Tamandua tetradactyla: one gene and its partner. The protein of the gene in region 1 binds, or shares a complex with, the protein of each later gene. Links are inferred from orthologs where the notes say so. Each region holds a gene or a part of one and is shown on either strand. Other genes may lie near its edges.

Region 1 (9,010 bases):
AGAGAATGTTTATAAGAAAATTAGGACCTGGATTGTAAGCTCTTACAGGAGTCACATTTATTCTTGAGTTTTAAGAGTTATTTATAAATGCTGAGGTGCTCTTTATGTATAACTTGGTAGTTCCCTGGATTAGCCGGTACCTGTGTGACACCTAAGACTCAGAGTCAAAGTTCTACAGCTCTGAAAATCAGCATTACTCCATACAACAACTGTTAAAGAAGATGAAAAAGAGATCAGACTTTATATGAATGAAGCTTATCTGGTTAGGTCTACGGTAAATCAGAATACAGGGTAAAGGATGATATTGTCTGTATTTTAAAACTTCAACTTCTGTGTGAGACCAAAGGAAGAGATGTTTATTTTGTTCAAAATTTAGATTTTCTGTAGCATACTATCTAACTTAACCTGTCTTGCCAGTTTATTTAAACAACCTAAATACAAGAAGCCTAGAACAGAGAATAAGAGCTGATGATTCTGTATAGCTTAATGTAATACCATGTTATATTCCAAAATATTGGGGGCAGATGATAAAAAAAAAAGTATTTGCAAATTCCCTTGAGGGGTTGGAGAAAAAATATGAAACTATTAAACTTTCCCACCTGGGAAATTCCTGATATTCTCTGAAGCACTGTGGACTCCCAATTTAATAAGCCAAGCCCTCAATCTTGTGGCTGGTCCTTATAAAACTTATTTCTGTAATGGTGAGGCTAAGCCTACTTATAAACACACCTAAGAGTCACACCCAGAGAATCTCTTTTGTTGCTCAGATGTGGCCTCTCTCTCTCTAAAACCAACTTTGCAAGTAAATTCATTACCTTTCCCCGCTATGCATGACATGACGTTCAGGGTTGTAAGTCTCCCTGGCAATGTGGGACATGGCTCCCAGGGATGAGCCTGGCCCTGGCATTGTGGTATTGAGAATCCCTGCTGGACCAAAAGGGGAAAAAGAAATGTACCAAAATAAGGTCTCAGTGGCTAAGGGATTTCAAATAGAGTCAAGAGGTCATTCGAGGTTACTCTTATACAAGCTTCACCCAGATATTACAAATTGCCATGGTTTGTCAAGCCCCAGCCAACAGTGTTCCTCTAAACCCTAAAGAATACCCAGGGCTCTATCTCAGACACTATAAAAGTTTTACTTATTAAGTTTTATATTTCAGAAACTTAAAACCTGCAGATTGTTCCTATGCCAGATAATCCCTAAAACTTAGAGTTCCCAAAAGCTCCAAGAACATCAACCAGTTGCATTCTCTTATCCCATAATGTCAATACCCCTTTTTAACATGAAGAAGTGAGAATGGTCATTGTCCAAATATCCCTGAACACTGAGAGAATGATCAAATGAGAGGGAGGAGTTGTAACAGAGAAGTCAAGATTTAACAAATGATTATGACTACTGAATCATTATATAGATATTTATTTTTAGTTTCTAGTATATTAGACCAGCCAGAAGGAAGTAACTGAACCTGTAGAACCCATACTGTACTTTGAAATTTGCTCTATAACTACTTTCTAAACTATACTAAACTATGCTGAAATTAACACATTTTCGTACATATGTTATATTTCACAATAAAAAAAAATGTTTTAAAACAAGAAAATAGGTCAGGCCATTTGAAGCCCCTAAATTTCATTTATTGCAAAGACAGCTTCACATAAGAGCTCTTTTCTCATCATGTTTAAGATTCTGATGCTAGCCATTGGTCTAGACAATTGCTGTGAAGAATTTGCCTTCCAAATATTGCCAAACATGGTCACAAAAGGACCAAGCATCGCCTACACGCCTTCCAAGGACATTAAACCCTTTAGTTAAATAATCATTGGGCTTAGCAAAGAACTGAATACAGGCTCCCTTTAAGCATCTTTTATCCCTTAGCTCTTTTATCTTTTAGGGAAAAAAAAATTCTCAGAAATGAATTTTCAGTAAAACTGAGCTAATTCTCTTGGCAACCTCTCCGGCTCTTCTACACACATTATATAAATATGCATAGTAGTATTGCCAAGAACAGAAAAAAAAAAAAAAAAAAAAAAACAGTGCAGGAAATTACGAACTACAAAAGCTGCAAAATAGTTACCCTCTTTTAGAAACAGCTGTTTTCGCTTAAATTTAATTACTTTTTCCCAGCAGCTTTGAAGGTAAAGGTATTGGTTACTGGATGCAGGTGGTTCTAAATAAAACCAGAACGCTTATTCAATCCCATCTGGGAACACAGGGAAAGACTCGCCCAAGCTGGTGGTAGCAGGTCTGCTTTGAGACAAAGAAACCGTCTTTCAAGTGACTCATGTGAGACATATTTCGAAATCCTTGTTGCGTGCATGAGACACTTTCAGTGACCGACCTGACAAGGCACCCCGAAATTTGACACAGTCCTTTCAGGGAAGACAAGGGTCAAGACTCGCTGACACCTTCCAGGTGAGCCACGTCCTCTATCAGCAACACTCGATGACTTGCGAGAGTCTGCTTCCCAGGAGGGTGCAGAAAGCTTAGGGGAGGAGACCCACTGGAAAAGGTCTGAACATGTCCCAGTCTGGTGGGTTCCAGGCAAGATGAATAGCCAAAGGATTTTTCTCATCTAGGATGAAACTCCCTCTCCTTTTTCTAATGCAGCTTTTCATGAAGCCTACCCTGACCACACTATTTAAAATTGCAACTTATCCTCCTACTTCCCATCTCATAACCATGTTCTATTTTTATTATTTATTTTTTAATGTACAGATATTAAATGTACAAAGTCAATGAACTCTTACATATGCATATAGAATTTTTACAGCACCCCAGAAGGCTTCTTCAGTGGCCCTCACCCAGTCAGACCTAATCTAGTCTTTCCAAAGAATTATCACATTTTAACGTACAGTTTGCCTAACTGGTTCACTGATTTATCCCAAGCAACTAGGATGGTGCCTGGCACCTGGTAGGCACAGGATAAGTAATTGTTGAGTGAATGACTATAAAAAATACACACTGCACCCCTATTCTCCACCCCCACCCCCCACCCCCAGATGTGGTCTATAATCAGAGAAACCTAGGCTGGAATCCTTAGTGTCTACACAGGGAGGTTAAGTGCAGCCATAGGGATGGTGCTTCCCAAATCTGGATGTAGGTATGGATTAGGTAAGTCCTGGTGTCGTCTCTATCCATGCAACATTTTCTTGGACAGATTGAACACTTGATCATGGATCTGCAGGAAGGAGGGGATGCCTTCTTTCATCCAGAGTCATCTCTTGACTCCTAGGTTTTGCTGCCCTTTGCCCTGGTAGAGGCAGAGCCCTCTTAGAACAGCCTCCCTTCTTCTCACTTGGCTGTCGAGACTAATGCAATCGCCCAGTTTGGAGAACTTGGTTCCTCCTCTATACTCAGCTCTGCCAGTTGGTTGCCAGGTTCTGGCCACTTTGCACCCTGGCCATTTCTCCTCCATGCTGTTCCTTGAATCTCCTCCTTTTCCTTTCCTTTGGGCCCACCTTATGTTACTGCACTAGCCTCCTAAATGGTGCTTCCCCTCCACCCCATCTTCAAGCTTATCCTTTTCCATTATTTTTCCTAAAAATACAACTTTTGTTATGTCACTCCTGTAGTCACAGACTTTCAGTGGTTCTCCCATGCTACCAAAAACAAGTCCAAACTCCTTAGCCTTGCATGCCACGGCTTCCAGACCCATTTTCCTCACTGCTAGCAGATGGGTCTTCCCCATTGTCATTGTATTTTCTTGCCTCTATACCTTATCTCTGTTGTTGGGTTCAAAAAATAAGTGCTAGAAGGAACGATTTAAGATCAGCTGTTCAAACTCATTTTCCAAATGAGGAAACTGAGGCACAGACAGATGAAATGGCAGGTCAGCATTACACAAAGATCAAGTCTGACCAATGAGAAAGAAATGTGGGGCAGTCTTGGGTTTAACAATGTCAACTGGATCCTTTCATATGTGTGAAAACAGTGGACCACCTGCGCCTCTACTCTAATGCCTTCTCCAGACAACTCTACCTTACAAATGTGGACCTGAGTCCCACCTCAAGCACCACCTCCTCTATGCAGACTTCATGATCCTCCAGCTGAGAATCCGAATTCTCAGCGCACTGAATTTGTATATCAATCCTAGCTCCCAGGCTACATTTTGAAGAAACGGTTTGATCTCTCTTTGACTTCTCTCCATCCATATCCCTTGACTTGTCCACAATAGGAGCAACAAAAGTCCACTGCATGAAAAGTTATAGGTGTAAGGCATGGCAATGTACATACTGCCAGGGAGGCGCGGTTCACACTCCCTAATTCCAGCCAGCTACTATGCACCGAGTACAAAATTTCCAGCACACTGAGCGGTTCACATGCTGCACCTTAGTTCCTTTTGAACCCAAACCCATAAACGTGAGCAGAATGCCAGCTTGCTGCAATTACAGGATAAGTTTTCTCGACATCTTTTGGTACTGTCTCTGCCCCGGTCCTCCACGCCGCGAACCGCCACGCGCGCTCGGTGACCGGTCCGACACGTGACTTGGCACTGAGAGAGCACAGCTCCTCTTACAGAGGGAGCTGAGGTCCCCCGCGGGCGCGGGCCGTCAGCTTTCCGGGCCGGCGGGGTCACCGACCCCTCGAGGCAGCCAGTCCGGCCGAGGGCGGCGGGAAAGTGACGCGGGGCGGGTGGAGCAGAGAGGCGAGCGCGGCCCCGGGGGGAGGCGGGGAGGGCCAGGGAGCCGAGAGCCGCCGAAGCTGTCGGGCGCCGGGCCTGCAAATCAGGTGACACCCTCGGGGAACGCCGAGGGTGCCCACCTGCTGCCCGGGAGCGCCGAAAGCGCGGGGTTGGAGCTGGGCGCGCCTGCCCGCCCCGGGACTCCCGGCCCTGCCCCTCTCCGCCCCCAGGAGGGACCGAGGGAGGGCAGACGGCCGGGCCCGCCCTCAGCCCCAGCCCCAGCCCCAGCCCCAGCCGCGCGCAGCGGCCGCGGCCGCGGGAGGAAAACGGGAGGCACCACTTCGGAGCGGTGAAACCAGTTTGGCCGGTCCTGGGAAGCCCAGAGAAAAGGGCGGCCGCTGAGGAAGGGCGCGCGGACCCGGGGCGGAGGAAGGCGGGGAGCCACTGGCGGCAGAGCCGGAGGAGCTGCCTTAGCCGCGGTCAACCGGACACGCTTCCCGGGGCCCCGGGCCAGCCCCCGTGCGCCATGAAGCGCTAGCGCGGCGGCCGGGGCTGGGGCGGGCAGCGGCGGCCAGGTGCGCAGCGAGCGCTCGGACGGCGCGCACCCGGCGGATGCCCCAGCCGGGGCCCAGCGAGCGCCAGGTAAGAGAGGGGCGCGACACCCGAGCCCCCGGCCCCGCGGGCTTCCACAGGTCTCCCGGCCGCCCGCGGGCCGGCGAGCTCCGGGGATCCAGGATGCGGTGGCAGCAGCTGTCCGCGTCCTCAGGCTCGGGTGGATTTGCGTCGGGGCTCTGGGAGCCCCCACGGCCTGCCAGGGGTGAGGGAGGCAGAACTGGCCGGGGAGGCAGCGCTTGGTCAGGTTCTTGGGGGTTTTCATCTGCCGGGAGGAGAGGGGCCCGGGTGTGGGCGAGCGCGCGGGAGGCGTTTGCCTTCGCTGGTGGGCTGCGCACACGTCTAGGGCTAAGCTCCGAGGGTCCGGCCAGGCAGGGCGTGCGGCCCCTTGGGGAGTGCCCCGCGGTGGCCGATGCCCCTCTGGGAGTACCCCGTGGCCGGGCTCTGCCGGGAGCTCCCTTTGGGGATCGATGCCCTCGTGTCAGAAAGCGACCTGCGGATCGAATGCACCTGACGGTGGCCGCGCTGCGGGGAGGGGTGGGGTGAGACGCTTGCACCGCGCCAGCTGCGGGGCCAGGGCATCCGCCAGTCATTTCCCGTGCCCTTGTATGCGGATCCGGGGGGGGGGGGGGTGACGGGGAAAATGGACAGTGTTTTTCCGGTGATCGTAGGGTTGTGTGCCCAGCTTCCCACGGCCCTGGCACGGGCCATTTCGGTTCCCTCCCCAGTTTGATGCTCCGCGCTGTCACCTCGCTGTTTGCTTGCCGAGTGGCCTCTTGTTCCGGGTGGGGGTGGGGGGGGTGTTTGATGGAAAGGCGAGTGCTTTAACTCCCCACCTCTCTACCACCACCACCCCGCAAAGTGAAAGAGAAGCCTTTGTAGTGTAATCTCAACTTCTCCGCGGGGCTGTATAGGCGTGCCCGCCGGGGTTGGCCGGGAGCACAGACGGGTGACAGCTGTAGAGGGGCGAATTAGAGATGCAGAAGGGAAGCACAACAGGGGATGGGGGGAGAGCGGGCATGGGCAAGGACCGGGGATCTGGGCCTCCTTTTCGCCCAGTAAGTTCCCTCAACACCACCCGGACCCCATGGCTTGCCCGTGCCGCCTCTGGTTGGCCCCAAATGGGCTCTGGACGCTGAGTTCCCCTCCCGGAAGCTGCCCGCCCTGCTGGCTGGAGAAAAAGATTTGCTCCCATCTTCCTGGTTGTGTTGCAGCCAAAGTTCTGCCCCCCAACCCTTTAGGATTAAAGGAGACAGTACAGGCAGGTAGGTTATTGACAAGGATTAAGTGCTTTTAGGAACAGAAATTCAAAAAGATGTGTGCGACTTCAGCGATAAGTAGGTACAAACACATATAAAATGGGGAAACCACACAAGATGTAAAGTTGTAATTTTCACTTCTAAGGAGTTGTTTGGTATAACACCTAAAATGTCATTCATTAATTCTGGACCTATTGTTGAAGTCTTTATTAAAACTTTTATAGGTGCATATACTGTGCAAAAGAATAATGGTTATTAGCTGATTAATTTCAGAGGGAAAAATCATGCCTGCTTGCAGTTCGTCCTCCGAATTCTCTGAATGATTTTCGTTACATAGTGTAGAGTTCCTTGTTCTGATTTTAGGTAAGAAATCTTAACCACTTTCTTCATTTGCCATTTTCTAGTGCTTGTGCTTTGTTTTTAAATCGTTCGAGTAAACACTCAGCCTGGTCATTTTTAGCGATTCTTTGTGTACATAGTCGGGTGCCAAGAGTTCTGCCTGCAGCTGCCTGCTGGTGACGTGGTGCCGGCCAGGGCAGCGCCAGCCACTTTCCAGCTTTCCTTGTGGATTTTGTTTTAAGAAAAATAAAGTATACCTGTGTGCACTTTTTATTAATACATGTTAGTGGTAGAACTATAAGGTTGGTTGTTTGTTTTTAATGTTGACTCTGAAATAGCGACTAGATAAAGCAAATGGCTTAACAAAGGTAGGCCTTATGGTGTAAGGCAAGTTCAAGACCCTTTCCAGGACCAGGGAGGGATTTTGGTGTCTGGGACCTTAGCATTAGAACCTAGACCAGCTCCACCTGTAGCTTATTCCTTATTCTCTCTTTCAAAGCCGAAAGTAGTAGTAATACTTTATGGTGACAGAAACCTGTGGAAAGCCATGGTAGAATCAGGAACCTTTGGACCTTGGGGCTAAAACTCTGCCAACTGAGTTATTTTAGGTGCCTGGCAGCTTGAGGAGCCCATTGATTTTAGTTCTTTACCTTAGTAATTGTATCTTAGATGAGTTGTTATATTTTTTACACCTCAGTTTGTCCATCTGTTGAAAAAAAAAAGATGACTTGGGTTGTTGAGAGAATTAAATAAGAGAATATATGAAAGTTCTTTGTACATAGTAGGTGTTTTTTCCTTGTTAAACTTTTTTTTTTTTAAGAAATGAGGATGCCCAAGTATTTGGTGTAAAGTTTTAATATTTTGTTGCCTTACCAATTTAATTCCATTTTAGTTGTTCATAAGCTACATTCATGGAATACAATTCATTCTAGAGAGATTTTTATCTAGCTATCTTTGGTCTTTAGTTTCAATCATGTTTCTTATAAAAGAGAAATGCTGTTATGAATGCAGAGGAACTTGCTTTTTTAGGTACCAGAACAAGTTTTATGGGGTCCATCCATACCTCATATCTCTAAAGAGAGGTGACCAAAGTTTTTAAAGCATTCTATTTTAGGATTTGCTTCTAGATTAATCTTGGGCAGCTTTTCTTTGTGGTATCTTTAGGTATTCTGTGACTTTTTGGGTCCATTTGTGGGCATCGTTCAATTCGATTAATTGTGTTCATGCCTCTAGGACTTTTGTTACTTTTTAAGATAAGGAAAAAACTCATTTGCTGTCAAATGAGTTTTAAAAAAAGAAGAAAAGACCTTCTCTTTCTTCATTCTCTTAAATGAATCCCCATCCCTGTGCCCAGCTAAAAGCAATACCCATTCTGGAACCTTTTGAAGAGCTGGGATTTGGGAGGAAGATCTGGAAGTCTAATTAAATAGACAAAAAAACCCAGCCTTGTTTCTCATGCTTATTCCTGGAAAACAAAGGACTTTTTATCATCTGACCATTTAGGATGTGTTAGTGCTTTTACTGATACCTTTAGCATTGCATCGTCTAATAAATTGTTGCCCAAACCATCCACAACTCTGCTTGACAACTGGTACCAGTGAGCACTGAGCCCAGAGGCTGCGGCCAAGTCGAGGTTGGGAGCACTCACTTTGGAGTCTTCTGACCCAGGTTGGAGCCTGGGCTTCTCTGCCTCCTCGTTGTGTAACCTAGGGCAAGTGACTTGCTCTCTCCTAAGCTTCAGTCTCTTTGTCTGTAAAATGGAATAATAGTAGTACCGCCTCATAAAGTTGTGTGATGAGGGCCAAAGGAGATAATTTATGTAAAGTGCTTTGCACAGAGCTCAATGAAAGGTGGTCATTAATATTAGTGTGTTGTTGTTGATATCCTCATTAAATATTTATTGCTCCCCAGCAGTTGCCTTTCTCCCAGGTTCTGCAGGAAACAGGCACGACTCTGCATGTTAACGTTTGTTTGTTTTACGAACATTTAAGGAGTGCCTGTTTTGTGCCAGGCACTCGAAAGAAAGAGTCCCCCAGCTCAGGCCCCCCAGGCCCGGCGTTCAGGAGCATTGGCAGCTGGGGTGCATGATGCCCTCCTGTATTGCCCGAAGCCACAGCCATGGGGGCCCCACCCTCTCCCTCACCTGGCTGCTACTCTCCCTGCCCACACTGAACTCTG
Region 2 (8,660 bases), on another chromosome or scaffold:
TTTGCTCTATTCACCTTGGGTACGTGGCCCTCTCTCCTTTCACCCTGGGTAGTCTAGTCCGTTTTGATTCAACCCTCTTTCTTATTTGCAGTTACAGAGATCTTCCTTCCCCGCTATCTCAATTCTGTCACCCAGTTGGCCCACCCCTCTCCATATTTCGGGTCTCTCTCCTTCCAGCTCACTAAGCACAAGCCCTACAACTGTGAGCACTCAGCTGGAGTTCAGTCCCATTCTTGCCGGGTTTTCCCTAAACCTGGGAGACCCCTAACCCAACTTCTATACCATTTAAGACCCATTGTCACCTATGAGAATCCATTTTCCATTTTACACTGCCCCCCCGCAGCCCCACCCACCTAATTCTGCTCATAGTTCACTCTCTCTTTGACCTCCAGTGTTTTTCAGGAAGTTAGTGACAAAGAACCAACAAACTGCAGCCAAGAGCCAAGGGAATTCATGTCTGCCTTTTGTACCTTCCATGCTTACAGTGCTAGTTAACTGAAATTTCTATCTTCCACTAGGGGGTACCACCCCATAATTTTTGAAACAGGAAATCTGCTGAATACAGCTCTTAATGAAAAATGAAGCCCAGGCCCAGTGAATTTTTTTTAACTTTTCTGAACACATGCTGTAATTTTATGAAGCAATTTAATTTGATTCTTTTTAAATAAAAGCTGCCCCACGGGCAGAGTAATAGGCACAAATCTTGAGCAGTATAAACTTATATAACGGAACACCAATTAAAAATCCAGGCTCTATTACAGTAAGATAAACAGTCATGAATTAAATGAAATAAATGCAAAAACTCAGTACAGCCAGGCAAGTGAAGTTATTTTTGCTTTAGCAAGAGAAATAATCATACTAAACAAAAGTTGGCTTCAAAACAAAAGCTTTTATAAAACACAAATAAAGGCAGTCAGATGTTCTAGGGCCCTGTATTTAAATAGGACAGAATTCTCTTAACCTTGGAGTATAACCGAAGACTTGCAACACTAAAAACTGGCTCAAGTTTAAGGTCTTTTAGGTTTTTAAGAGAAAGGTGCCAAGTCATTATAGCATAGTGGCTGAAAATGCACAATGCTGGAATTCTTTAAATGCCACATCTTCCACTTATTAGCTTTGAGAACTTGGACGGCCTCCACTTCCTCCGCCTAAGCCATGGTTTCTGCATCGGTTTTAATGGGCCTGATTGTACCTGAGCTTCTTGTGTGAATTAGATGAGATAATGCATATAAAGTGTTTACAGAGTGACTGGCCACAGCAGGCAATAAATGCTAGCTATTATTGTTACTGAATGAATTTGTGTAAGAAAGGCCTCCTGAGATGACTAGACATGGAAATTTTTGCATCGAAAGAGACACGAAACATTTTGGACAATGCGCTTACACAGATAAGAAATCATGGACCAGAGAAGTTAAGCAATTTGACCACTGTTATTCCCTGACAAACCTTCGAGTTTAACTTGGGTTTCCTTAATAGCAGGCCAGCATTTCTTTTCCCCATTCTATAGTGCCTCCTTCTTCAACCTCGCCTACACTATTATCTTTTTCCCTCAGAATGAACACTTCTCGGCCATCTATAAAGAAGCCTTTCCTTTAGGATACATGCTCTTCTAGGTAATTATTACTTGCTTTTCTCCTATTCTTTCCACATATTTCTGAAAAGAGTTGTCCTCACTTTGGCTGCCTTCACCACCTTTTCCCCTCACTTACTACAATCTGATTCCGCTATCATCCAAATCTCTCTGACTCATGTCAAATCCAAGGGCCCTTGTGGTTTCTAATGTCACTTGAATCCTCAGCTGTGTTTAACTATGTTTACCATTCCCTACCTTGAAATACCCTCCTCTTCTGACTTTTGGGACTCTTTGGTGTTAGCTTAACTAGCAGAATGAATAAACTGATGCCTTGAGGTCATCCAGGGAGAAGAAAGGTGAAAGGCTCTGATCTCAACAGAAGGGCACATACTGTTAGGGGGTGGTGAGAACGGCTACTGTGGGACTTGAGAGCCACTAGAATTTTAAAGTCAAATTCCTCATAGGAGACCAGTTTTATGGTCAAGCAGACTGATAATCCACCAACGTAGAGGTAGGTAGAATTCAACCATATGATACAGAGAATCGTTTATTCATTTAGATAGAAATTTGTTGACAATGTTGGACCATCCTCTTTTGGGGTACAAGAAGGATATGAAATTCGAGTTGTTGGAATCTCCCTCAGTATTTTTTGACCGCTAAAGCTTCTGACCTACATTCATTCCACTCAGCAAAATGGATTTTCCATTATTAAAATATTAATGACTCTTTTTAGTTTTCGTATCACTCTTGTGAAGCAATACTTCTTCTTCTTCTTTTTTTTTTTTTTATGCATACGAATAACCTCCAGGATAACCTCTCGACTCTGGAATCTCTCAGCGATTGACACTTTGTCTCATTTCCCTCTTTCCCCTTTTGGTCGAGAAGGTTTTCTCAATCCCTTGATGCTAAGTCTCAGCTCATTCTAGGGTTTTTCTCAATCCCTTGATGCTGAGTCTCAGCTCATTCCAAGATCTCTGTCCCACGTTGCCAGGAAGGTCCACACTCCTGGGAGTCATGTCCCATGTAGAGATGGGTAGAGTGGTGAGACTGCTCGTTGTGTTGGCTGGAGAGAGAGGCCACATCTGAGCAACAAAAGAGGCTCTCTTGGGGGTGACTCTTAGGCCTAAATTTTAAGTGGACTTGACCTATCCTTTGTGAGGTTAAGTTTCATATGAACAAACCCCAAGTCTGGGGGCTCAGCCTATAGCTTTGGTTGTCCACACTGCTTGTGAGAATATCAAGAATTCAACTTGGGGAAGTTGAATTTCTCCCCGTTCTCACCATTCCCCGAAGGGGGGCTTTGCAAATACTTTTCCACTCACTGATCAAATCACTCTGGGATTCATCGGGGGATCACTCTGGACAAACCAGCAAAATCTCATGTCCTACCTGAGATTCCAAGAACTTACGGCGTTCAAACTATCTACATAAGTCATATTAGGAAATGCTCTAGTCAAAATATAAATTTTGTAACAAATAAACATTTTTTGCTTTAGTCTCACACATAAGGTGACATTTTAACATACTAATTACCATCTATTTTCAGCACCCTGTAATAATGACATTCCTTTGTTCTTCCTCATGCAAAAACACTTTTAAAATTGTACATTGTGAAGCAATACTTGATACTTGGTTATTTGCTGCCTATTGGCAACTCTGACTATTTCTTACTCCTGAGTAATGTGTCCACTATAAGACTGCCTTGGAGTGGATGATCCTCTTTAGAACAGTTTTTTCTTCTCTTCTACATTGCTTATCATAGGACTAAGCACTTGGAAGATACTGAAAAAAACTCCTGTTTAACTTACAAGCATCTTAACTTTTCAAATCTCTATGGGTTTTGAATGACTTCCGAATGCAATCTATTATTCAAGGTTCAGAAAATATTTTAATCATTTGCATTCAATGAGATGGAGGAGAGGCAGGAACGCCTCAATACCTAGGGAAGATTCAGCACAAAGCTGAAATGACTTGATAGCCCTTGTGTGTTGTGCCAGCCTAGATCGAAAGGCTGAAATCCCAGGCAATCTTCAGAGCTAATCTGGGTTCTCTTGACCATAAGTGGTATAAATCCTTAAGAGTTCATTTCTTAGACCAAACACTCCAAACAGGTTTGTCTCCTGGGACCTTGGATCAGGCCTTTCTCCACGCGTGTAAACAATCTGAAAAGAAAAGGAAATCACATGTAGTCCTGGGCATTTACCTTCTCGTGTGGCTTCTCCACTAGCTAGAGAGAGAGATACTTGAAGGCTTTGGACCTCTTTCGTCTGACTCTCCTTATTTAAAGATCATTTTTAGAGAACGTTCCATCTATTTTAGTTAGCCAAAGGGAGGCATCAGGCCTGACAACAACTTTCCCTTAAAAAAAAAAAAAAAGCTAAAATTTGAATACAGACACTGAATTCGAACCAGCATTACCACCATGTAATTCCCTGGGCATTAAAGATTTTGTGGCTGGACACGTCCATACAATGACGAGAGGGTCTCGAGTCACCACGCCCCCTCCCCGACCCCGACACAAGAAAAGAGTTCTAGTGTGAAACCTTCAAGCCTTCGGGACCCCCGGTGTCCCCTTACAGCCACTTTCTGCGGGAGACTGCCGCTCTATGATTTCGGGAAGGACAGGCACAGGCCCTCCAGCCACTTGGAAGGCGAAGGGTAACGGAGCACCTGGGCAAGGTACGGCCCACTCGGGGACAGCCTGGGGCCGCCGTTGAACCTCGGGGAGCAGGAGCCGGCGTCCACTCGGACCAGAAGGGAGAGGCAATACGATCCTGGGCCGGCCAGGTGAGGAAAGGAACACCCGCCCGCCTCACCTCGGAAGGGGCGGAGCGCGGCGCGGCTCCCAGAGCCGGCGGGGGGTGGAGCCGGCGGGGATCACCTGGGCCAGGGCGGAACTGAGGGGCTCCGGTTACTGCCCGCGGAGCCCGGCCTCAGGACTCACCTGCGCGGGGGGCGGGGGCGGGGCCGGAGCCAGGACTCACCTGAGCCGACCCGAAACCCGAGCCGGGAGCAGCCCCCCCGCCCCCGGGTCCCCGGGCGCCGACCGGGAGGTGCCCCGCGGCGGCGGCCACCCCCGTGACCCTCCGTGGTCCCGCCGCCATGACCTGGAGCGCCACCGCCCGCGGCGCCCACCAGCCGGACAACACGGCGTTCACGCAGCAGCGGCTCCCCGCCTGGCAGCCGCTGCTGTCGGCCGGCATCGCGCTGCCCCTCTTCTTCTGCGCCGGCCTGGCCTGCATCGGGCTGGGGCTGGGCCTCTACTACACCTCCCACGGCCTCAAGGAGCTCGAGCACGACTACACCGGCGGCCCGGGCTCCGGCAACTGCTCGGCGTGCGCCGAGGCCGCCCAGGGCCGGGCGCCGCCGCCCCGCTGCTCGTGCGCCTGGCACTTCGCGCTGCCCGAGCGCTTCCGGGGCCCCGTGTTCCTCTACTACGCGCTCGCCCACTTCTACCAGAACAACCGGCGCTACGGCGTGTCCCGCGACGACGCGCAGCTGAGCGGGCTGCCGAGCGCGCTGCGCCACCCGGCCAACGAGTGCTCCCCGTACCAGCGCTCGGCCGCCGGCCTGCCCGTCGCGCCCTGCGGCGCCATCGCCAACAGCCTCTTCAACGACTCCTTCTCGCTGTGGCACCAGCGGCGGCCCGGCGGCCCTTACGTCGAGGTGCCGCTCGACCGCACGGGCATCGCCTGGTGGTCCGACTACCACGTCAAGTTCCGCAACCCGCCGCCCGTGAACGGCAGCCTGGCGCTGGCCTTCCGGGGCACCGCGCCGCCGCCCAACTGGCCGCGGCCCGTCTACGAGCTCAGCGCCGACCCCAACGACACCGGCTTCGTCAACCAGGACCTGGTGGTGTGGATGCGCACGGCCGCGCTGCCCACCTTCCGCAAGCTGTACGCGCGCGTGCGCCGCGGCGACTACGCGGCCGGCCTGCCCCGCGGCGCCTACCGCCTGGACATCGCCTACAACTTCCCGGTGCGCGCCTTCGGCGGCCGCAAGCTCGTCATCCTCAGCAGCGTCTCGTGGATGGGCGGCAAGAACCCGTTCCTGGGCATCGCCTACCTGGCCGTCGGCTCCCTCTGCGTGCTCACGGGCTTCGTCATGCTGCTGGTGTACATTCGGCACCAGGAGCCCGACGGCCGGGACCAAGACTGACCCCCGGACGCCGGGGGCCGCGCCTGCCCTGCGCCCAAGCCCTCGCGGCCAGCGCCTTGGGGCCGCGTCGCCCCCCTCCGTCCCCCGGTCCCAGCCGCGCCCCGCTTGTCCTCTGGTGGGTGAGGCAGGGAGAGGCACCCCACCGAGCCGGAGGGCCCCAGACCCTCTGGCTGGGTGGTTTGCACCCCAGAGTGGCACCTCCTTTGAAATCCCCCCCAGCTCCTTCATGGCCCAAGAGTTGATAAGAGTTCTTTGTCTGCCACATTTGAGGGCAGAAGGGACAGGAGAGGTTCAGCCCACCCTTCATCAGATGTAGAAAGGGAGAAGTTAAAAGGTTAAATAACCCATTCGACGGCAAGTGGTGTTGGCTTCAGGGCGGGCCACGGTGGCTCAGCGGGCAGAGCTCTCGTCTGCCATGCTGGAGTCCGGGGCTCGAATCCTGCTGCCCGCCCATACCAAAACAGAAGAGAAAAATGGTATTGGCCGCAGACCCTGAGCCTAGAACGGTTGCCACACAGTTGAGATGTAGTTTGTAAGGTCCTATCCCAGTGACTGCCACACACAGCTTAAGGGTGGTCCCCTGAAGCTGCATTTTCACACATTCCTCTGGAGGTGCCTGTTTCCTCGAGCTTGGAACTCGCCGCCCTGAACCAGGGAGGAAGTAGAGGACTTAGACTTACCGAACAGCCTGAAGCTGTTAAAGGAGTCATCTGAGTTTTCCAGGCAGTAGTTCCCAAGGGCTGCAGCAACCACAATTTGGCAGGTTTGGTTTAGTACACTCTCTTGCACAGAGGGAGCCTCAATGATTTGTGGAGTGAATGAAAAAATATTGCTATCACTCGTAAATGACTTGGCATACAGATTTGCAGGACAATGCTGATGTTAATTTCACTTATTATTTGAGTGTTAAAAAAAGAAAAAGAATAAAACACTTTACCAGGTTGTGTGTAGAGACTTGAAAATTCATGATCAGTTTGTACAAGTTAGGGGGAATATTTAGCCCTAGAATATGACTTCCCTACAGTCGTATCTGTGACTCCTGGCTGGGTCCTCTTTATCATCTCATTTGTTAAATACTTGGCGAGAAGAGCCTCCAATCATACCTTTTCCTTGGATCTGAGAAAAAGCTTCCTTTTAATGTGTTCTCAAAGGAATCATGTTTCCAGTAATCATGTTTGAATGAATGCTAAAGAATATGGTTTTATGTATAAACTGGAGTCTTAAGAATTATTTGGGACTTTGAGATCATTTTAAGTCTGATTACTGTATATGGATAAAGTTATTCTTAAGAGCAACTGAGTACTTTTTTAAAGCCTTCCTTGGATAACAAAATAACTCCAAAAGAACTAAAAGCAAAAGACCCTAATGATATCATCTTAACCAATCTCTTTCTTGAAAGCAGACAGCACTTAGTATTTTCTCAGACAGAATACTCTCTGTTAAAGCTATTTTTCAATTCCTGATGGTTTCGCTCAGACCTTGAAGGCAGTGCAAGATCTTGAACTATTTTTAGTGTCAAGGAAATATTGAATTGTATTGAAAAGTTTTCATTGATTTTATTTTACTTATTATAGTTCTTTGAAATTTAATAATTAATCTATGCACAGCATGTTTACTGACATCTGACTCGAATCTTCTGCGACAGTTGTAACTTAAGAAATTCTGTCCCCTTTTATATACAAATTCTTCCAAATTTTATAGTTACAATGGGTTGGTCTCCCAACTTTTAAACATGACACAGTTGTACTGGTAGGTGTGGATTATGATTTTAAACTATCGCCATTATATGTACATAGAGTAATTTTTATTTATTATGGATATTTGATTGAGCAGCCTAGCTCAGCCTTCCTCTATACTGGATAAGAGAATTTACTACATTTTTTTTTGTACTGTGTACTTTAACGATGATTTCTAGAATATTCACTTCATTGCTATAAACTTTTAAATAAGATCATGAAATCTAAGGCATCTGATTCAATTATTGAAAATGGTTCCAGCTCCCTTTCTCTTGGGTGTTGAAAGAGAATAAAGGTTCTGTTTGTCTTAGTCTTGCTGTTGTGTTTGCTTAATTCTTTTGAACTATGATCTTAAAGGCACATGCAGTATCAACCACTTTGCTCATTTGTTCTTAGCAGATTAATATTGCATCAGGAAAATCATCTTTCAGGAGAAGGCTTCCTTAAAGTGAACTCAATTTGTCATTATTATCTTTGTGGAACAGAATTTGAACTTCTGTCAGCAACATGTTATATGAATTAGATGGTTCTCAATGTTTGAATTTGGTAAAATGTAGTTGATTTTTAAAATTGTCGCATTTAAAATTATTGAAGGTGATTGCAGCAATCCTCTCCATTTCTGCATTTTATTCAAATTTTGAATTACAATAATCCAATTATATGTCAGATATTTTGGACAACAAAGTAGTAGAAACCTTAAAAACAAAACTGTGAAACATTACCTCATGATGTTGGCAGAATTTGTCTCATCTCGGGGTTCTAGTTGGACTTGAATTCTCATGTTATCCACTGCATGTGCCTTAGCTGGCAGTGAGGAAAAAAAAGAGGGTGAACCTCAACAACACGACTGGAAATGTGCTTTCACTTACCTTGGAAAATAAAACCAAAAGAGAGAATAAAGAGGCCAGTGGGTGTTCCTGAAACAGATCGATTTAGCAAGAGGTATCTCCCCAATCACTTCAACTAAACAAACAATTAGCTGGCTTTGCAATTATTAAAAATCAGAGACAGAATAATAGCCTGGAATTTCCATAAGTGGCAAAATGCACAGGCACAACCTTTTCTGTCTCATCTTTAGTCGGTTGCCCTCTTCTACGTCACTGGAAATCTTCACAACCCCGAATAAGTTCTCAGAGAGAGTTGTTGATAGAGCTGCAATTTAATCAATCAACTCCTTATTTTCCCTTGGAAAT

Evidence for each region.
Region 2: the proteins of ATP8B1 (region 1) and TMEM30B are in contact, whole or in part, in a cryo-EM structure (PDB 7VGH), measured with the Homo sapiens proteins. The link is inferred for Tamandua tetradactyla from reciprocal best matches to the Homo sapiens genes ATP8B1 and TMEM30B. Residues at the interface, in NP_001361314.1 of Homo sapiens: Trp362, Val366, Ser369, Ser370, Trp371, Tyr372, Leu373, Tyr374, Asp375, Gly376, Phe418, Trp421, Asp422, Leu423, Tyr426, Asp431, Pro433, His939, Trp942, Arg946, Tyr968, Phe971, Asn972, Gly973, Ser975, Ala976, Gln977, Leu1003, Gln1005, Phe1049; in NP_001017970.1 of Homo sapiens: Gly9, Ala10, His11, Gln12, Pro13, Asn15, Phe18, Thr19, Gln20, Gln21, Arg22, Leu23, Pro24, Ala25, Trp26, Gln27, Pro28, Leu30, Ser31, Ala32, Ala35, Leu38, Phe39, Phe46, Leu49, Leu53, Tyr109, Tyr111, Asn116, Phe117.

What each region holds. Positions count from the first base shown.
Region 1 is NC_135344.1:24,480,816-24,489,825, forward strand, and holds the start of ATP8B1 (phospholipid-transporting ATPase IC), read left to right. Parts: upstream 1-5,188; 5' UTR 5,189-5,264; intron 5,265-9,010. UniProt on the Homo sapiens protein: Catalytic component of a P4-ATPase flippase complex which catalyzes the hydrolysis of ATP coupled to the transport of phospholipids, in particular phosphatidylcholines (PC), from the outer to the inner leaflet of the plasma membrane.
Region 2 is NC_135338.1:3,545,888-3,554,547, forward strand, and holds TMEM30B (cell cycle control protein 50B), read left to right. Parts: upstream 1-4,439; 5' UTR 4,440-4,675; coding exon 4,676-5,731; 3' UTR 5,732-7,502; downstream 7,503-8,660. UniProt on the Homo sapiens protein: Accessory component of a P4-ATPase flippase complex which catalyzes the hydrolysis of ATP coupled to the transport of aminophospholipids from the outer to the inner leaflet of various membranes and ensures the maintenance of asymmetric distribution of phospholipids.